Stegostoma tigrinum: one gene and its partners. The protein of the gene in region 3 interacts with the protein of the main gene of each other region in a biochemical or structural test. Links are inferred from orthologs where the notes say so. Each region holds a gene or a part of one and is shown on either strand. Other genes may lie near its edges.

Region 1 (7,960 bases), on a different chromosome or scaffold from region 3:
TGATGGGTCTTTGATGATGATGATGATGGCTGCCTTTCCACAGTCCATGGATGGAATATTGGCTTCTGTGATGTTCTGGGCTTTGCACACGACCTTCTGTGGTTTCTTACAGTCCTGGGCAGAGCAGTTGCCATAACAGGCTGTTATGTACCTAGACATTATGCTTTCAATGGTGCACCTGTAGACGTTGGTGAGGGATGTTGTGGCCATGCCAAATTTCGAGCCACCTGAGGAAGGAGTCGTTATTCTGCCTCTTTGACTGTCACACTTATGTGGAAAGTCCAGGACAGGTTGTCCGTTATCATCACTGAGGAATTTAATGCTCTTCACTCTCTCTGGACCTCAGTTCCCTTGATGTAGATGGAGACGTATTCTCCTCCTTTCTTTCTGACATTAATGATTGGACCTTTAGTTTTGCTGACATTGAGAGACAGATTGTTTTCATTGCAGCACATCACCAAGCCTTTTATCTCCCTTCTGTATTTTGAATAATCGTTGTTAGCTATCCATCCTAGTATGGTGATGTCAGCAAACTTGTAGATGGCATTCTTTCAGGATTTGGCAACACAGTCATAGATGTACAGGCTGTACAGTCGGGGGCTGAGGACGCATCCTTTCGGGGGCTCCAGTGTTGAGTGTTATTGAGGAGGAGGTTCAGTTAGCTATCCTCATTGATTGCGGCCTGTGGTTCAGAAAACTGAGGATCCAGTTACAGAGGGCAGAACCGAGATCAAGATCACTAAGTTTTGAAATAAATCTGGAGGGGATAATGGTGTTGAAGGTGGAGCTATAGTCCACAAGAAAGAGTTTGCCATAGATATCCCTGGCACATTTAGACAACAAAGATGAGTGCAGGGCTAGGGATATGTCATCCTCTGTGGGCCTGTTATGTCAGTAGCCAAACTACAGAGAATCAAGGCAGGTCAGGAGATTGGAGTTGATGTGGGTCATGACCAGCCTCTCAAAGCACTTCATGACTTCATAGTCACACTTTTTCACCGTCAACAACCCTACATGCCCACTGATAAAGTGTGAAGCTGGATGAACACAGCAGGCCAAGCAGCATCTCAGGAGCACAAACGCTGACGTTTTGGGCCGAGACCCTTCATCAGAGAGCAGAGATGCCCACCGCCTCACCATCAATCAATTAATCTATAGGCCTGCTGCTCCACTGTCAATCACCCATTAGCCTACTTTTACTGTCTATCCCCTTTGTAGACCTACACTTTCACCATCAATCACCCTACAGGCCCATTTCTTTAGTGTTAATGACTCCACAGGCCCCCTCGTTCCCAGTCAACACCCCTGGGCATACTCTTACACTGTCAGTTACCCTACCGGCCCACACTCGCATTGTCAATCACAGTACTAGGCCACGCCCCCACCACCAGCCGTCGCCCGGGCTCCTCCTCCATTGTCAATCACCAGGCAAGCCCCGCCCTTTCAGCGCCCACAAGCTGCGAGCCAGTGCATGGACCCCATTCAAACCGCTGGGCGAGGAGGCTGAGCACCTGTCAATCACTGCAGGGCTCGTAGCCTCAGGCTGCAGTGGCCGAATTCGGCATCGCGCCGAATATGAAAGGGAACTTAACACATGGCCTTGCGGTGCTTCAGCCGGGCATGCGATTTTCACATTCCGCCAGAATGAACCCACGGGAATGCTATAATAAACACGGAAAATGCTAAGAAACACTCACCTGAAAAGTAGCATTGTTATAGAAGCACTGTGCATTACACAGGGCCACATTCAGTGAAGGATCGTGTGCATTTTCAGTCTGTATAACAAACGGCTAATCGATGCGACAGAATTGATATCACTATGGTCGCATTTTTTTAATCAACCATAACACCCATGAAACTGGCGACACCATTTTTATGTCGGTGTTTCACTGCACAGAAATATCACTGGCAATTTTCGTGTACAAATATTGCCGTCAACCTCCCATAAGGAAACGGTTGTAAGTTATTTAATGGGATATTAAAACTAGGAACTCCGGTATCGTCGTGTCGAGACCCCACAATCATGCACGATATTAAATCGCACACAACAGCATTCCTACAACTTCACAGCAAAACACAAACTCCCAAATAAGTACTAAACGACCCCATCACCAATTTTCACTAAAAGCGTCATGAAAATGTTTCTAAAATGCATTAACGATGCACTGCAAATTACACAAACATTTCACACAGATCACTAAATGTCGGGTAATTCTTTTGAACTTCCAGATAGAGTGTGAAAATTGGTTTGCCGAGGTTTACAGTGAGAAAACAGGCATCTCACCTCAGCATAAAAATGCAACTGGCCTGAACCGCACTCATCCGTTTTGTCTTACGTACTCGTTAATCTTCAATCACTCTCCCGGCTGATTTAATCAAAATCGAAGCAACGATTTCAATACAAAGAGAATCAAAACACGTACGTTGCGAGTGTTTTACACACGATTTTAACACAAGTTGTCTTTCTCCAAAACTATTATTCATAAATTAGCATTGGCAGTTAAATCTAACTCGATACTGGCAATGAACTTTCAAGGAATGAAACCAGCTAAATATTATACACAGGAAAATAAGTCAGTCAATGTTCAAAATACCGCCAATTTCGATAAATACATCCAGTGGATATGTTCATTATAAAGTGAATTTTGAAACTCCGGGCTGACATTAGCGCCCTCGAGTTTTGGTAACTGGAGCACGTGAGATTACACGTATAAGAAGCCAATGTGTAGGTGAAATAACTATTGCCGATTTTTATTGAGTAATTTTCCCATTTGCACAATACAGCAATCTCAGGTTTACCACATATAGCAGCACGAGTTAAAAATGACTCACCATGCAAGTATCGCGTCCGTATACTCCACAATAATTGTATCTAATGCCTCTGCATCTGTAGGTAGAACTTGACAGAATTTTTGAACCAATAAATTCAATTTATCTAAAACGGATTGGATTGAGGTGCCAGAGATGGACGCGCTTGAACAACCCCTCATATTCGACCCATTTTAAGAAACCAAACTGGAACTATCAATTAATCCGACTAATAAAGTGGCCGCCCAGTTTCTGCAATTTGTTGGAAAGTACGTACGTCATTGTGGTATTTTAACCCGAGTTCATAAAGCCTCACTTATGCGATCTCTATGATATTCCACTTCCTTCCTGCAGAAGTGGCTAATAGCAGCATATCGAAGGCGATACGGCGCGTGAACACCGTATATACATAATAAGTAGCATTTTCCTCTCTCACGGTTTTCTTTAAACTAGCCCCGTGGCGTTTCTCTTAACTTTGTTGTGCACAGCACGTTAACTGGTGGCTTGGGAAGCATTGCATTTTATTCAGAATACGCATATCTGTATTCGAGTTCTTCCGGAGCGACAGAAATTTCCTGTGAGCAAGGGAAAATAGGTTTGAAAGAAAAAGGAATAGCAGAAAATGCAGTTACAAAGTTAATTCGTAGTGTTGGGTGGGGTATAGAACCAGAGCACGACGACGATGTTTTAAAGTTAGTTTTGGTCAGTACCAGCTAGCAGCGAATAACTAACGAAAGGTTAAAAGCTTTTAGACGAGACGAAAGTCAATGTTTCGAAGTGCCCTGATTAGTAGGACGTTGGAAAGGCTGCATTGGAAGGATTGTCTCCACAATATGCACAATATCTACACGAGTTCAGTTTAAGGTGCGATTAAAAATACCTACAAAGCAGAGACAAATAGGTGTCAATTTTCCACCAACATCCTCACTTTAAAATCTAGGCCACGTTTACGCAGTCATTCTTGAGGGAGACGGTGTTGTCAGTTCTTGCCACCAAAGGAAAAGAGAAATGCGTGGAAAGCTAGGAGAGGAAACCATGACGAGAAGGTAAAATTTTGAGGGACACAATGTTTTAACCTTAATGCTTGGTAAACGAACTTCACATTTATCGAGGCAGAACCTTCAGCATTTGTGGCTAATGTTCTGCAAACTGTTTTACGTCATTATTCAAACGCTGAGAATAAATGCAATTTTTGACACTTTCTTACGAAAATAACGATGCCTTTACACTGCAGCCTTGAGAGGGTTTATTACAGAGCAGCTGTTTGGAAACCAGGACCTAGACTTCCAAGTGAGTAATACTTTCTCAATTTATTTGGACACTTGGAAATGACTTTGTTTAGTTTGGATAACAATGGAATCAGTGGGATCCTGTTCAAAATGGTGATAGGTGTATGTACCAGGAAGATAATTTGAATTAGGCTGCTGGTGGCAAATTTGAGACAACAGAACTTGCATGTAAAACTGAAGATTAGACGTAGATTAGGAAAGTAAGTGCAATGCTAAAACAATTATTGCTATGTTGACATCTTTGCAAAATAGCTATATAGGTATGGAGTTAGGGGTTGAATTAACATAAGGATTTATCAATAGCTGTGATAAAATATTGTGCACAGCATGATCATTCTTCAGATACTGAAATGATGGAATTGAAATCAACTAATCAATGATAAATGATGTCACTATAGAGTTGGATTTGCCTTATGCCTTGGAATGTGGGAACAGTGACAACATGCACAGAATCTTTCATCAGGACTTTCATCAGGAAGCTGAGCAAGTTCAGTAATTGAGCTGAATACATGAAACGGTTAAATATACCAAATACTTGTATTTACAGTGACAATTTATACTTAGATGGAGGATTTAAAATAGTCACGCAGGGCAGTCAGTGCTGAGTGAGAAGACCATCAGGTAAGGTAACAAAGTGCATATTAACTAGCTAGATTTTGAGTAGGCTTCTAACATTGAGGAGATGTTTAATGATATTGGAGGGATTTAGCAAGAGAATTGCAGGAGTGTAGAGCTATGAGAATGAATTGACAGGAAAAGGGACACAGAGTTCCAGACTCAGAAGAACAGAAGAATCTTGCAGAAGTAGCATAGAGAAAGTCAGTGGATAGCTTCAGTAAATTATTTATGCTTTTTATTCTTTTGGTAAAAGTCATTCCTCAGCTATGAAAGTGGGGAGGTAACCTTCTCCTAGCAGCCTCCATCTGTTATAATGTCTGATGCTCCTTCATCATGATGCCATCTGGGTGTCTCAGCGCAAGTTGGATAAATAGCTCCTTAAACCTGCTCAACTATTCAGTAACATCCTGGGGACCTTCGACCTCAACTAAACTTGGCCATTTCTGGTCTTCTATTTTTTTCTCTTAAATAAATTCAGACCTTTCCATACAAAGAATGACGGATTGTATATTGTATGTATATTTTTCCTTTGTACATGTCATATTCATTGTCCTACCATGCCAGCAATTCATCACATTGTAAACAGAGACATAGAGAAAGCTGTGTTTAGTGTCCTGACAAATATAACCATGTCATTGAAGACTGCTTTTCTCTAAATTGATTTTCAACAATAATTCAAAATAAAAACTGCAGGGTAGTGCAGTGTACAGCAAATTGCTGAGTCAACACATACTACTTTTTACCCCTTATGTCAACAATTACTCCACAATGAAATTAAAATTCTAGCCTTATTTTCAGAGCAAATTTGCCACTTGTTCACATCAATTGCTCAATGCTAGCAGAAACTCCTAAGGCAACAAATGTTGAAAAACAGGGATTATCCAAATGGGAGTGTAGGCTGGCCTAATCGCCAGTGCTATTAAATACATGGCCTTTACTTTCAGCAAAATATTAACATAAAAAATTGATGAAAATGCTGCACAAAGTCACCCTATCCCATCAATATGATCTCCTAATGCACGCTAAGTAACATTTCAAATTTGCAGTTTCTAAAATTTACTTTACAAGAAGTGGCTATAGAGACCCGTCCAACATGAAGTTGTCAGGATTATAAGTGAGACAGCTGTGGAGAAAGTCAATAGAAAAGTCAATGTTATCACTAATAGTAGATTTTAAGAATAGATGAGAATTTGAATGAGCTCAGGGGTGAGAGAAGATTGCTTTTTTCTAGAGGAAGTAAATAGCAAAGGAGAGGTAAAACGTTTGGTTTTGAGACATTTTGAAGGAGCCAGAGAAATGTGCAATAGTCCTAGGTGAAATTTCACAACACCTCTAAGTATGGGATGTTATGAAATGTGAACCAAGAGAGTTTTTCTCGAATGAAAGGAAAAAATCAACAGCAGTGTGCCAGATTTCAGTCAAGCCCAGAATGTTAATTTACTCCTCCAGGATAAGGATATGAACAGGGAGTCTTGTTCACAAATGAGCAAATATTCTGCAGGCTGTTGTAAAGTGGAAGCATGTTTAGACATTCAATTGATGAGCAGAGTTGGAGGATAAAGACAAAGGTAGACTCACTGGGGAGCTGATGTGGTGAATAGCTACACAGGGAGGAAGCTTTAGATTATTGCCAGAGGAATAAAGTGAGTTTAGGAAGTGTTAGGATAGACAAGTGAGATAAATAAAGAAAATGATGTGCGGCTTAAAATTTCCATTACTGTCAACCTCTTGTCCAAGACTTGTGGTATGCTAAATAACGGTCTGCTTTGCTCTCAATTTCAATTAATTAATATTAAGCCAAATTGCTAATATTAGCACAAATACATCACGAGGTAAACACATTTAATTTCAATTAATCTCACTTTGGAATTCGGTTTTGGTCTTCCTATATCATATATTTCAAAGGATAATATCTGACCTTTTACAGTTAAACACTTTAATATTCTGTACAAGTTCATTTAGCTTGCTATTAGTGAAGGGGCAATTATTAGCCGCAGTAAAAGTACTCAATGAAAAAGTAATTCAAAATTAGAGACTGTTAAAAACAGATTATTAGACTAGTTTAACCAAATGGCAGCAGCCTTAACTGTAGGAGAAGCTCACAGGCTCAATTCCCAATGCATGAATTTAAACAAATTAAATAGGCAGGCACTTCAGCATTATGCTGAGGGAGGGCAGCATTGTCAGAGCTTTTCATCTTTCAGATGTCTACCTTTTCAGATCAATACACTATTTTAAACTATTACCAAAGGGTTCGCCTGATGTCCTGACCAAAATTTATGCGTTAACCAACCCCACCATAATAGACGAATTCCTCTTTTTGTATTGTTGATTTTGTACAAATTGACTACTGTGTTTGCTGATGTAACTGTGAACACAATCAAAGTAATTCATTGGCTGTGAAACACTTTCAGACAACCTTTAGACACGAGTAGTACTTTGTGCATGTTTTTTGTTTTAAACGTAGTCTCTTTTTCTAATCAACCTGTTCAGAGATGCTATTACGCACATCTGGAGCAGAGAGGACCTGATCTGGGGCCTCCCAGTCCGGGGGTAGAGATACCACAGCTTATACCATAAGAAGCTTATGCATGTTATGTGGAATCAAAAACCTAATTTAGACTTCAGATACAAAATGTGAAAATTGCTACATGCAGACATGATGGTAAGTGCAATTCAACATCAATGTGTGAAGTGATACATTTTGTTTTAAAATCAACAGTGACTGTATCCAGTATGCTCAGTGTTCTGGAAGAAGTGAAGTATTTGGGCAATAAGCTTACAGTTTATTAAAAGAAATAAACAAGATTAATAAGGAATTTAAAAGGCAAAGAGAATTATAGATTTGATCATGCGGTATATTTAAATTAAATTTTAAAATTGAAATACTATGTGGTAATGAAAAGTTATATAAAACATTCAGAATTGTGGGTAGTATTGCACACTCCACACTATATAAACAATATTAAAGTTTTAGGGGGTGAAACTCAGATTCCCTAGGGTTATTTCTGGTATGAGCAAATACAACTGTGAATACAGACCTGAATAACTGTATCATTTACATTAGAGCAGCACAAATTATAGGATGATATAGTAGTGCATACAATTACGAAAGAATAGAACAAGCTGCTGAGGACTCTTTTCGATACCTGTGGGTGTGGAGTTTGCCATGAACTAAAGATCTTGATCTTTACATTTTTAAATTCAACTTCTACCTTGGGAGTTTGAGAATTTAAGTTTTATAT
Region 2 (7,136 bases), on a different chromosome or scaffold from region 3:
CTTCCTGGACCTCTCAGTCTCCATCTCAGGCAACCAGCTTGTAACTGATGTCCATTTCAAGCACACCGACTCCCACAGCTACCTAGAATACACCTCCTCCCACCCACCCTCCTGCAAAAATTCCATCCCCTATTCCCAATTCCTCCGCCTCCGCTGCATCTGCTCCCACGATAAGACATTCCACTCCCGCACATCCCAGATGTCCAAGTTCTTTAAGGACCGCAACTTTCCCCCCACAGTTATCGAGAACGCCCTTGATCGCGTCTCCCGTATTTCCCGCAACACATCCCTCACACCCCGCCCCCGCCACAGCCGCCCTAAGAGGATCCCCCTCGTTCTCACACACCACCCTACCAACCTCCGGATACAACGCATCATCCTCCGACACTTCCGCCATTTACAATCCGACCCCACCACCCAAGACATTTTTCCATCCCCTCCCTTGTCTGCTTTCCGGAGAGACCACTCTCTCCGTGACTCCCTTGTTCGCTCCACACTGCCCTCCAACCCCACCACACCCGGCACCTTCCCCTGCAACCGCAGGAAATGCTACACTTGTCCCCACACCTCCTCCCTCACCCCTATCCCAGGCCCCAAGATGACATTCCACATTAAGCAGAGGTTCACCTGCACATCTGCCAATGTGGTATACTGCATCCACTGTACCCAGTGCGGCTTCCTCTACATTGGGGAAACCAAGCTGAGGCTTGGGGACAGCTTTGCAGAACACCTCCGCTCAGTTCGCAACAAACAACTGCACCTCCCAGTCGCAAACCATTTCCACTCCCCCTCCCATTCTCTAGATGACATGTCCATCATGGGCCTCCTGCACTGCCACAATGATGCCACCCGAAGGTTGCAGGAACAGCAACTCATATTCCGCCTGGGAACCCTGCAGCCATATGGTATCAATGTGGACTTCACCAGTTTCAAAATCTCCCCTTCCCCTACTGCATCCCTAAACCAGCCTAGTTCGTCCTCTCCCCCGACTGCACCACACAACCAGCCCAGCTCTTCCCCCCCACCCACTGCATCCCAAAACCAGTCCAACCTGTCTCTGCCTCCCTAACCGGTTCTTCCTCTCACCCATCCCTTCCTCCCACCCCAAGCCGCACCCCCAGCTACCTACTAACCTCATCCCACCTCCTTGACCTGTCCGTCTTCCCTGGACTGACCTATCCCCTCCCTACCTCCCCACCTATCTTCTTTACTCTCCATCTTCGGTCCGCCTCCCCCTCTCTCCCTATTTATTCCAGTTCCCTCTCCCCATCCCCCTCTCTGATGAAGGGTCTAGGCCCGAAACGTCAGCTTTTGAGCTCCTGAGATGCTGCTTGGCCTGCTGTGTTCATCCAGCCTCACATTTTATTATCTTTCATATACCTGTCCAAATGTTTACTAAATGTTATAATTGTACCAACCTCCACCACTTCCTCTGGCAGTTCAGTCCATGCACACACCAGCCTCAGCGTGACAAGATTGCCCCTCAAGTCCCTTTGAAATCTTTCCCCGCTCTCCTTAAACCTGTGCCCTCTAGTTTTGGACTCCCCTACCCTGGGAAAAAGACTTTGACTATTCACCTTATCTATGCCCGTCATGATTTTATATACCTCTATAAGGTTGCACTTCAGCTGCCTATGTTCCAGGGAGAAAGGTCCCAGACTGTCGATCCTTTCCTTATAACTCAAACCCTCCAAGTCTCAGTAACATCCTTGTAAATCTTTTCATACTCTTTCCAGCTTAATAACATCCTTCCAATAGCAGGGTGATCTAATTGTACACAGTACTCCAAATGTGGCCTTACCAATGTCATGTACAGCTGTAACATGATGTCCCAATGACAGTCAAATGTTGTGACCAATGAAGACAAGCGTGCTAAATATGTTCTTCACCACCCTGTTTCCCTGGTGATGCCACTTTTAAGGAACTATGGACCTGCACCTCTAGGTCCCTCAGTTTGACAACACTCTACACTGCCCTGCCATTAACTGTGTAAGTCCTGCCAGTTTGTCTTACCAAATGCAATACCTCACATTTATCTAAATTAAACTCCATCTTTCCCATCTCCACCACACTCTGCCTTCTCCATCCCTTTCACTCTCACCAATTCCATTTTCTCCCACCCATCCCTTCTGTCTTTTGCACTACTTACTCATGCCCCGTCTCTCCTCCCCTTCTCCTCTACCCTCTCTCCTTTCCCTCCTCCAGCTCCCCTCCACTTTATCGCCATTCCCACTCTCACCCTCACCCCTCTGTTCTCACTCTCCCCCTCACCCCCTTTCTCATTTCCCCTCTCCTGCATGCCCCAACTTCTCTCTGTCTATGCCTATCTCTGCCTCACTTCCTCCCTCTTATTCTGTGCCTCAATCCTCCCCCATCTCTCTCAACTTGCTTTGCTGCAACTTTCAGAAACATTTACTGAACTTTTGTAATGTATTTGCAGCATGACCTATCAGAACTTTTCCTTTCAGTTCAAAATGTCACCCTGAGAAATGTTGAGGTGGTGAAACTTCACTCTGTCAGACACACACACACACACACACACACACACACACACACACAGACACACACAGACACACACACACACACACACACACACACACACACACACACACACACACAAAGGGGGGAAAAAAGCAAAGAATCAAACTAAAAAAGCGGAAATTCACTTTTGGATTTAGAAAAAGAAACTCTTGTGGAAGTCTAGCACACTGCTGACAGGTAGAAGCTGAAACAAAAAGTTAACCACTACTACTCTGAATATCCAAACCCTACCCTGCTCTCACCTGATGGAGCACAATCTGAGTCATTTATTGGAAAACACGTTTACACAATTAAAGGTTGCTGGAACATTTCAAGCAAATAAGCTGGAATTTCGGGATGAGCTAAATATTTCCCTTGTGTATCATAGAAATTACTGTTTGAAGCATTCAATTATTAACCTCTTTCTTACCTGGGATAGAATATAGTCAAGTCTCAATGCAGTGACCTCCTGTATGTGAGTGGCCTGAGACTGTGCGTGTTAGTATTTGTGTATAAAGTGAGTTGCCACTACATCATATTCAAATGAATTATTTTGTTTATTTGCAAGATAAGTTTGATCGACGAGTGTGAATAGTTAGTGCTCGCACCCCAGTGACTCAGCAGTCAGTGCTAACCAGGCTCAGTTGGTAACATTCACCCTCTCACATCCCCATCACAGGTTTGTGGGTCACAGATTCACTGATATGCTATGGTGCACAAGGGGGCTACACAGCCCATCCACTAGTTCTCCAAATGAGCATCATTAGAATCATAGAATATAATGCGTGGAAGCAGGCTATTTGGCCCATCGTGTCTTCACCAAGCCTCAAATGAGCATCCCACCCAGACCTACCCCTCCCTGTTACTCTGCATTTCCCATGGCCAAGCCATCTACCCTGTATATCTTTGGATTTTGGGTGGAAATCCATGCTGACGAGGGGAGAACAGGCAAACTTCACACAGAGAGTCACCCAAGTGTGGGATTGAACCCGGGTCCCTGGTGCTGTGAAGCAGCAGTGTTAACCATTGAGCCACTGCATCACCCCTATTTTGGCAACTCAGTTTCAACTCTCCGAGGGAAACAGCCCCAACCCATCCAAACTTTCGTCATCACTGAGTCTCTCATCTCTGGAACAATTCTTGTAAACGTCTTCTGTACTCTTTCCAATTAGACCACTAACATGCAATCTGTGCACACCAGGAAGGCAGACTGTGAACAACATGGACCTTGATCTTTTATGATTTGGTGATTCTTACGATTTCTCAATTCTGGTGTAAGGTTGCAGACCTGCGGCTGAGCTCAGTTAGTTGGAAGGCTGATTTGCAATAGAAACAAAAGCATGGGTTCAATTCCTACAGAGCTTGAGGTTACCATGAAGGACTCTCCTTCTCCACCTCCTCCCTCACCCTGACACATGGTGACCCTCAGATTAAATGAGCACCAGACCTCTCCTTCTCTCTCTCTAATAAGAAGCCCTCTGGGCCTATGGTTACTTTGTATAGCAATATACAAATTCAGAGGAGACCATTCAGCCCCTCAAGCCTACTCTTGCATTTGATAGAATCATGGTTATTCTGTTTGTGACATTGACACTGATTTCTCTTCCAACTGACTTCACCCCCACCCTTAACTCCTACTCCCACATCCTTAGAATCCCTTAATATCAAGAATTTATCTAAATCTTTCTTTAAAAATATTCAATCACTCCCTTTAACTACCTCTGTGGAAGAGTTCCAAAGACTGATGACTCTGAGGTAACAAATTCCTCCTCATCTCCCTCTTAACTTGGAGGGTCCTTGGTTCTAGTCTACATCACAAGGGGGAATCCTCCTCTCAATATCAAACAAAAACAGCAAAAGAACTGCAGATGCTGGAAATCAGTAACAGAAATGGTTGGGAAAACCAAGCTGGTCTGGCAGCATCTGTAGAGAGAAAGCAGAAAAACAGAACCATTCTGAGGAAATGGACCTGAAACATTAACTCTGATTTCTGCCCATGGATGCTCCTGACTTGCTGAGTTTCCCCAGAATTTTTTTGTTTCTGTTTCTGATCCTCTCAGTATTCACCCTGTCAAGTCCCCTCAGGGCCTTATATGTTTTCAATTAGATCATTTCTCATTCTTCTCAACTCCAGTAGATATGGAACATAGAACATTACGGTGCAGCACAGGCCCTTCGGCCCTCAATGTTGTGCCGCCCTGTGAAACCAATCTGAAGCCCATCTAACCTACACTATCCCATTATCATCCATATGTTTATCCAATGACCATTTAAATACACCCAGCCTGTCACATTATTCTTGCTTCTCTCTCCACCATTGCTGCCAGATTGCTGCCAAATGTTTCTGCATTTGATATTTTACTTTCAAATTTCCAGCATCTGCAGATATTTGCTTGTATAACGTTTAATGTCACCCTTAGACCTTCTGTTGAACATTTTATCCCAGATCATCATACACCCTCTCTCTGTCTAACAGTCTATTCTACAGAAAGAAAAGGGTTTGCATTTCAATAGCACTTTTCCGAGCCTCTGAACATCTCAGACGTCGTTACGGCTAATAGATTATTTCACGGTAGCGTAACATAATGTAGAAAACACAGCAGCCAATTTGCTCACAGAAGGCTCCCACAGACAATCAAGTAATCATTTATATAAATGATTTAGATCAGAATGTAAGGAGGCATACTCATTAAATTTGTGGATGACACCAAAATTGGGGGTTCAGTAGACAGGGAAGAGCGTTATCTACGAGTACAAAGAGATCTTGATCAATTGGGTCGGCGGGTTATGGAGTGGCAGGTGGAGTTTAATTTGGATAAATGTAAGGTTTTGCATTTTGGTGAGACAAACAAGGACAGGGCTTATACAACTAAAAGTAGAGCGTTGTGTAGAACAGAGACCTTGGGGGCTCAGGTACATAATTCTTTGAACTTTGCTTTGCATACAGACAGGATGGTTAAGAAGAAATTTAGCACACTTGCATTCATCGTTCAGACATTTGAGTACAGGAGATGGGATGTCACGTTCAGGTTGTACAGGATGTTGGTGAGGCCTCTTCTGGAATATTGTGTCCAGTTCTGGCTGCCCACTTGTGGGAAGGACATTAATAAACTGGAGAGGGTTCAGAAGAGATTTACCAGGATGCTGATGGGAATGAGGGGTTTGAGTTACAATTGCATGAATAAGAAATGTTTGGAGGGATATGGGCCAGGCACAGGCAGCTGGGGCTAGTTTGGTTTGGAATTACTGACAGCCTTGGAGTGTTTGGACCGAAGGGTCTGTTTCCATGCTGTATTACTCTATGATGATGACCTGATTTTCTGTTTCTGCGAAACTGTTGGAGGATTAAATATTGGTCAGGGCACCAGGAAGAACTCCCCATCACTTCTTTGGCCAATGCTGACCTATTTTTTACAACTGATGCCTTAGTTATGAGTTTGGTGTAGCATTAAGCTACACCAGCCAAACGTACAGCATGCCCTCAGTACCACATTAAAGTTTCAGCTAGATTCTGTACTCAAGCCTCTGGAATGGGGCCTGAATGTGGAGTGTGTAGGTGGCAGTGTCCTGTTCCAGTTTGTTTTTCTTATTTAGATCTCCTGTCAGGATTGACAAGGATACTGAGGGCATTGTCCGTTGCTGCTGTCTGGGGACACCCCGAACTCAAGTTCAGACTGTTTTTGTTGTGCTCTCACTGGTTAAAGACCTTTTCTAGAACCAGAATGTAGCCAAGGTATAAGCATAGTGCTGGCAATTGAGAAAACAGAAAGCACTCAAGTCAAAATGAAATTTTAGTTGAAGTTGTGAGCCAGTCAATCAGTTGAGCAAGTGATGACCAGCACCCAATTACTACTGAGTGATATGAATTGTTAATTGTCAAAGCAAGGGTCAGTAAAATTTGATCACAGGTCTCACAGCTAATGAGGCTTAGTTAATTGCACAGTGTAGAGCTGTATGAACACAGCAGGCCAGGCAACTTCACAGGAGCAGGAAAGTTGACATTTTGGGTCAGGACCCTTCTTCAGCTTCAAAAAGAGTTCTGACCCAAAACGTTAGCTTTCCTGCTCCTCTGATGCTGCCTGGGCTGCTGTGTTCATCAGCTCCACTCTGTGTTATCTCTGAGTCTAGCATTGGCAATTCTTACTATCGCTTGGTTGGTTGCACACATGTCTCTGCAGGCTTGAGGGCTTGGTTACCAGCCTGCTGACACTGCACACTACTATCGCCTGTTAAGATCCACGGTGATCCATTGCAAATGTGGTTCAATTCTCCAAAAGCAACCTGTAAATCCCAGATGGCCACACTGATTTTTTTCTGGTGTATTATGTATATTAAAACCTCCTGTGATTCTCAGTGAAACTGCATCACAAGAACACAGTGTTCCTTCTTGTATATTACATCATGATCATTGTGAAGAGACCTGGGCCACTCCGACTCGTGACTCTTTTCCGCAATATCCCTCATCTCCAACTGAACTGATTCTATATCCTGACTTCCTGAAATAAGGTCCTCTCTGATAATTACACCAATGCAAGTCTTAATTAACACTACCACCTCTCCATCTTTATTTAGCTTTGTATTCTTGAATGCCACTTATCTTCAACATCGAGCACCCA
Region 3 (7,421 bases):
GTTAAAGTGACAGAGAGTGTCATCAACAGTACCATCAAGCAGCACCTGCTTAGCAATAATCTGCTTGGGAGATGCTCAGTTTGGATTCTACCAAAGACACTCAGCTCCTGACCTCATTACACTTCGGTTACTGAATTCCAGGAACGAGGCAAGAGTAACATCCCTTTATATCAAAGCCACATTCAATTGAGTATGGCATCAAGGAGACCTAGGAACATTAGGAAATCAGGGGGAAAAATTTCCCCTGGTTGAAGTCATCTTTGACACATAGGAAGATGGTGTGGTTGCTGAAGGTATGTCATCTCAGTTCCAGGACATGTCTGCAGATGTTCCTTAGCATCTGTTCTAAGCACCATATCTTTAGCTGTTTCATCAACAACCATCTCTCTATCATAAAGTCAGAACTGGGATGTTTGTTTGATGGTTTCACAATTTTCGTGACTTGTCAGATACCAAAGCACTCCTGATCAAATGCAATAAGTTATGGATAGTATCCACACATGGCCTGACAAGTAAAATTCTTCAAAGTTCTTTTTTCAACTTTCCTTACGATACTTGTTGACTATCAGTCTCATGCCAGTGTTTGGCCTTAGATGGAGTTTACCATCCACTTTGGGCTGCATTCACAAGCAACCTGACTCTGAGAAGATACCATCCCAACCACCAGCCTCGTGCTGTCCCCGGGTCTGTCTCAGTCCATATTCACTAGATGACCCTGTTGTGCTACAAAAGATGTTACGATATCTGGGGTCCCCTGGAAGGGTCGCTGGACCTGAATCATTAACTGATTTTTCTATACAGATGCTGCCAGACCTGCTGAGCTTTTTCCAGCAATCTCTTTTTTTGTTTCAGATTTTATATTACCGTATCTACTTGACCATGAGATTTACAGACTCGTGTACACCTTGACGACTGCGCAAAAAGCTTGTAAAATGCAGTATAGATTACACAGTATAGAACTGGAAGATCACAATAGGCCAGGCAGCATCAGAGGAGCAGGAAAGTTGACGTTGCAGGTCGGGACCGTTCTTCAGAAATCCTGTGATTTTCTCTTATGGAGGAAGAAATCCTAGACCATTGTTTAAACGACCCCTCCACTCTTACTGTCCACTCTCCCCTTCACACTTCTGTCCCTTACCCTCTCCTCCCTTTCATCCTGTCCTTCTCGACTCACTTCCCTCTTGATCCCCTCTCCTCTCTTCCCTCGGCCCCAACACCCACACACATACTTCTCCCACTCTCCCCCCACCCCCACACATTCAGTGATTCAAGCGACACCGAGCTTGGCGCAGTCTCTTTAAATGTTCCTCCAACCTTTCCCCACCACCACACCTTTGGCCCGCGTTCGACTCCCGGGAACATACTTCCCAGTCACTTACAGGCTACGACGTTCACCCAGGCGGCGTGAATCCCGACGAACAGCAGGCATAAGGAGGCGGCCATGTCCGACCCGGAGTTGCGGGGGTGGGGTGGTTGGGGGGTGTTGTAGGGCAAAGCGAAGCAGTGTACAACAATGAGGAGGGGGAATGCGGCTCGGCCCAGTTCAGCCCCGGCTGTTAGTGACAGCACAGCCGCGCCACGCCGACAGCTCACGACGGTTTCATACCCTCGCGGAGGCCGCGATTTGAAAATCCGCTGGCCCAGCTCGCGCTCACAACCACCCGATGGTCCGGTAAAATTCAGCTCCTCGCCTCCTGCCCTACTCGGTCTGGACTCCTCAACCCGCTCCGGTTAGACACACACAGAAATAGAATTATTACTTCCTTCCTTTTAATTCCTCGGCTGTTGCTGTTCTTTTGTCTTTATAAAAAAATTCCAGCGGAAAAGAAAAGCCGCGGGCGTCCAGACGAACCGCGGATGGGTGGGATTGATGAAATATATTCCTATTTTTGTTCAACTAATGTTCTCCTCGCGATCACGGAACAAAATGTTCAGGATCATCTGCGTAGATATAAAAATTCCCGCTTGTTCGATCGCTGTTGATGATAAAACTTCGATCATATGTTGGTTGAGGGGGCAAGGTTGGGGGATTCACTTGCTGTAATGGGAACGAAAAAACCCTACGACTCCTTCCCTTGACCACGATGATTTTTCTTCTCCTCTTGACGGAATAATTGTTTCACTCTTTTTGTCTATATTTCCTCGCAGACTTGTCGCCTGAAATTTTTCCTCTTCAGTACGTGGGTATTTTTATCTCTCCCTCCCCCCTCTCGAGTGAAACGAGATCGATCAAATTTACTTTTAATCTTCTCGAAATAATTTACTCCTTCCAAGCGCAGGTTTTCGGCCGATGGCGTGTGATTTCGTGTGTGTGTGTTTTCCTTCTCAAACCGTCTTTGGGAGCTGCATCGCAAACTCTTCGTTTTGTCGGGCGTTGATTTTAGATTTCCCTCTTTCGCCTGGCTCCCGTTCAATTTATTTCTCTATTTCTTTTTCATCCTGCGGCTGTGGTTTTTTAAAAAAATCTAAAATTTCCACTACCGAAGGTTCATTCCCCTCAGGCGGGTCATCATGACTTCCTTCCTTCCCTCTCTCTCTCTCTCCCCCCCCCCCCCCCCCGCTTGTCTTCCGATGTGAGGGGATTTGGTTTGTGGGTGGAGGGCCAAGTGTTTGGACTACTCAAACCAGCCACTCTCTCAGGATGAGGGGGGCCGGAGGCACTGCCAACTTCCGAAAGAATCTCCCTTACGCACCCCCACCCCCTAAGCCGTTTTGCTTTATTTCTGCTAGATTATATTGAAGTTGTCTTCCCCTCCGCCACCCACACCCCTCGCTTTCTTCTCCCTGTGCAAACTCCAAAAGACCGCAAGAGGTTTCGGTGGGAGACTGCCGAAAAACGCTTCCTTTTCTATACCCCGCCAAGTCGGTTCCCGAGATCTTTTCCACTCCGGCCTCTTATGTCCGTGTCTTGCGTGCCTGTATTTTGTTCAATGAAGATGGTGGAGAACCACTGAGGCTGAGCTGGTCGCGAATAGGGAACGACAGCCGAAACCAGACACAGATATACACACAAGAGACGGGATACGCCCGCCAGACACGCCACGGTCACACACCAAGCCTGAGGCTGTGTCTGAATCCGAACAGCTCCCTCTATAGTGCTCTGCGTTTAAAGGGGCAACGCAAATTAACTTCCAAAGGTCTGAAGTAGGAAGGGACAAATTAGGAACTCTGGTTTCCCTCATAAAGGAGGAGTGCAGCTCCCATTCCATCCGCGCTTTTAATGTGCCAGCCAGGCCTCAAGACCTCCCCGAGGCACCAAGAACAAATGAACATTGAGCTAACAAAGATAAATAAGCAGTGACTGCAAACTTAATGGAAATAATGGAATTCAAAACAGTGACGTCAACGGGGAGAGAGAGGTGAAGGAGTCTGGGGTTAATATGCCTGGATCTTACGCCTAGGTGGCTGAAGGAGTCAAATTTAATATTAGTTTGAGAGGGAACTCATAAGCAGCCAGATTCATATCTAGCTCTCACAAGTCCATTCTTTCGTTAACAATAACCCAACCGTTATTTGTACGCCAGCATTCTTTACAAAACAACACAGTCCTACCTGAAGCAACTTTTCCATTGAATTCTATCTTTAGGGATTTTGTTAACCACGACAATGATGCTCCTATCAGCTACTTCCTAAATCAGCTTGACCTAGAAAACCGTACTAACTATATTTGCCATAATCAAGATATAGTAGGAACTGCAGATGCTGGAGAATCTGAGATAACAAGGTGTAGAGCTGGATGAACACAGCAAGCCAAGCAGCTTCACAGGAGCAGGAAGGCTAACGTTTCAGGCCCAGACCCTTCTTCAGAAATGGGGAAAAGGAAGGGGTTTCTGAAATAAATAGGGAGAGAGGAGGAGACGGATCGAAGATGGAAAGAGGAGAAGATAGGTGGAGAGGAGACAGATGGGTCAACGAGGGAGGAATGAAGCCAGTAAAGGTGAGTATAGGTGGGGAGTTAGGGAGGAGATAGGTCAGTCCAGGAAGGACAAACAGGTTAAGGGATGAGGTTAGTAGGTAGGAGATGGGGTTGGGGCTTGAGGTAGGAGGAGGGGATAGGTGGGAGGACGGACAGGGTAGGGAAGCGGGGACGAGCTGGGCTGGTTTTGGGGTGTGGTGGGGGGGACATTTTGAAACTTGTGAAGTCCACATTGATACCGTTGGGCTGCAAGGTTCCCACGCAGAATATAAGTTGCCGTTCCTGCAACCTTTGGGTGGCATCATTGTGACACTGCAGGAGGCCCAGGATGGACATGTTGTCTGAGGAATGGGATGGGGATTTGAAATGGTTCGCGACAGGGAGGTGCAGTTGTTAGTGCAAACCGAGAGTAGGTGTTCTTCAAGGTGGTCCACAAGCCTCCGCTTGGTTTCTGCAATGTAGAGGAGGCCAGTGTGGGAACAGCAGATGCAGTATACCACATTAGCAGATGTGCAGGTGAACATCTGCTTGATGTGGAAAGTCTTCTTGGGGGTGAGAGGGGAGGTGTAGGGGCAGATGTAGCACTTCCTGCGGTTGCAGGGAAAAGTGCCGGGTGTGGTGGGGCTGCAGGAGAGTGTGGAGGGGACAAGGGAGTCACAGAGAGAGTGGTCCCTCCGGAAGGCAGATAAGGGTGGGGAGGGAAAAATGTCTTTTGTGGTGGAGTCAGATTGCAGGTGGCAGAAGTGTCAGAGGATGATGCATTGGATCTGGAGGTCGGTGGAATGGTACGTGAGGATGAGGGGGATTCTGTTTTGGTTGTTATTGCGGGGATGGGGTCTGAGGGATGTGGACGTTCTCGACCATTGAAGGGGGAAAGTTGGGGTCCTTTAAAAATGAGGACATCTGAGATGTACGGGAATGGCATGTCTCAGCCTGGGAGCAGATGCAGTGGAGGCGAAGGAATTGGGAAATTCTATATGCTTCTATTTCAAACCATAAATGTGTAGTCCCTTTCATTGCCTATTCCACCAGCCTATGCCAGATCATGTACCCTTATTTCTGCCATCTCCAATATAATCCAACATATTTTCCCCTCTCCTGTCCACTTTTACATAGAACATAGAACATTACAGCACAGTACAGGCCCTTCGGCCCTCGATGTTGTGCCGACCTGTCATACCGATCTCAAGCCCATCTAACCTACACTACTCCATGTACATCCACGTGCTTATCCAATGACGACTTAAATGTACCTAAAGTTGGCGAATCTACTACCGTTGCAGGCAAAGCGTTCCATTCCCTTACTACTCTCTGAGTAAAGAAATCACCTCTGACATCTGTCCTATATCTTTCACCCCTCAATTTAAAGCTATGCCCCCACATGCTCGCCGTCACCATCCTAGGAAAAAGGCTCTCCCTGTCTAACCCTCTGATTATTTTATATGTTTCAATTAAGTCACCTCTCAACCTTCTTCTCTCTAATGAAAACAGCCTCAAGTCCCTCACCCTTTCCTTGTAAGACCTTCCCTCCAGACCAGGCAACATCCTTCTTAACAGCCCTGTCAACCTGGGTGGCAATTTTCAAGGATCTGTGTACATGGACACCGAGATCTCTCTGCTCATCTACATTACCAAGAATCTTACCATTAGCCCTGTACTTTGCCTTCCGGTTACTCCTACCAAAGTGCATCACCTCACACTTGTCTGCATTAAACTCCATTTGCCACCTCTCAGCCCAGCTCTGCAGCTTATCTATGTCTCTCTGCAACCTACAGCATCCTTCGTCACTATCCACAACTCCACCGACCTTAGTGTTGTCTGCAAATTTACTAACCCATCCTTCTACGCCCTCATCCAGGTCATTTATAAAAATGACAAACAGCAGTGGACACAACACCGACCCTTGCGGTACACCACTAGTAACTGGTCTCCAGGATGAACATTTCCCATCAACTACCTCCCTCTGTCTTCTTTCAGCAAGCCAATTTCCGATCCAAACTGCTATATCTCCCACAATTCCATTCCTCCGCATTTTGTACAATAGCCTACTGTGGGGAACCTTATCGAACGTCTTGCTGAAATCCATATACACCACATCAATTTTTGTGAAGCATTTCTCTTTGTGATATCTTAGCACCCTTACATCCAACTCCCTTGCTCTGAGAAAATTCCTTGAAGCATAGGCACTGCTATCCAGGGCCCCAAACACTGCTTTCAAATAAGAGTGCAATTTGCATATACATTCCCCAACCTAGTATGCTGATTTCACTGAGAACTGCCGATGCTGGAGTCAGAGATAAAACAATGTGGAGCTGGAGGAACACAGCAGGCCAGACAGCATCAGAGGAGCAGGAAAGCTGATGTTTCGGGTTGGGAACCTTCTTCAGAAGAAGGATCCCAACCCGAAACATCAGCTTTCCTAATGATTTCACTGACCTCGTTTAGTTTCATGTACATTAGGCAGAACCAAGCACCAATGAGGGACCATTTCATGGTACATTACAGGTTTGTTCCCTGCATCTTTGTGGCTTGTTATTGCAAATTCTTCATTCAAATTCAACTCTGGCTTCCCTACCTTTGGCCTTCCACACATTTCTAATGAACTTAACAGGAAACATAGGGAACAGCATTTTCTGTTGCTGTTCAGTATTTTACAGTTCTGTGTTCTTAAAATTAAATTGAAATATTATTTCAATTACTGAACCATTATGAGTTTTTTTTGATTTTGGTGATTAACTGCCACCAGTAAATCACCAGTGTAACCTCTGAATATCCACCTATCTAATGCATTCATAATTTTGTAGATCTCAATCAGGTTGCCCCTCAGTCTCTGTCTTTCCAGTGAATACAATCTACATTTATCCAATCTCTCCTCGTACCCAAATCCAGGCAACATCCTGGTAAACCTTCTCTGCATCTTTTCAAAAGCATCCACATCCTTCTGATAGTGTAGCAACGGTGAAGTCTCCTGAATAGTGTTGAGACAATTTAGTTTGTTTATTACAGTAAAAATCTTGTCATGTGACAAATCTTTCATTCAGTTACCAGAAATACAAGTAACTCATTACAAGTAATTGGTCACCACAGGAATCAGAATGGCATGAGACAAAGATGACATGAGGGAAAACAATTTACTCAATGAGTTGTTATAATCTGAAATGCACTACCTGAGTGTTATGAAAATAGAATTGATTATAGTTTTCAAAGCGGTATTGTATAAATATCTGGAAGGGAAGAAATTGTAGCGCACACTCATGATGTGCTTCTCACCCAGTATCACCCTTTCTGGTCACCCTCAATGATGTACTGATGTGAATGCATCTGTGCTGGTGGAAGATGGCTTGCTGTAACAGTGCTGGTTCGTGGCTTCCATCTTCTCCGAGGATTTCAGTGATATTGTTGCTTCACTGGGATTTTTCCCTTCCACAAATGACTGTCTGAAAGACCATGAGAAAGAGATCATAAGGATTCACGTCTGATGGTGGAGGCTTTTACAGAACTGAAG

The links.
Region 1: the proteins of bmpr2b (region 3) and bmp4 form a complex in vitro, tested with the Homo sapiens proteins (2 studies listed by BioGRID). The link is inferred for Stegostoma tigrinum from reciprocal best matches to the Homo sapiens genes BMPR2 and BMP4.
Region 2: the proteins of bmpr2b (region 3) and gdf5 form a complex in vitro, tested with the Homo sapiens proteins (2 studies listed by BioGRID and IntAct, with this or other methods). The link is inferred for Stegostoma tigrinum from reciprocal best matches to the Homo sapiens genes BMPR2 and GDF5.

Annotation. Positions count from the first base shown.
Region 1 is NC_081363.1:47,120,757-47,128,716, forward strand, and holds the start of bmp4 (bone morphogenetic protein 4), read right to left. Parts: upstream 3,062-7,960; 5' UTR 2,833-3,061; intron 1-2,832.
Region 2 is NC_081372.1:8,448,555-8,455,690, forward strand, and holds the start of gdf5 (growth/differentiation factor 5), read right to left. Parts: upstream 3,014-7,136; 5' UTR 2,951-3,013; intron 1-2,950. UniProt on the Homo sapiens protein: Growth factor involved in bone and cartilage formation. During cartilage development regulates differentiation of chondrogenic tissue through two pathways.
Region 3 is NC_081360.1:7,394,578-7,401,998, reverse strand, and holds the start of bmpr2b (bone morphogenetic protein receptor type-2), read right to left. Parts: upstream 3,064-7,421; 5' UTR 1,444-3,063; coding exon 1,380-1,443; intron 1-1,379. UniProt on the Homo sapiens protein: On ligand binding, forms a receptor complex consisting of two type II and two type I transmembrane serine/threonine kinases.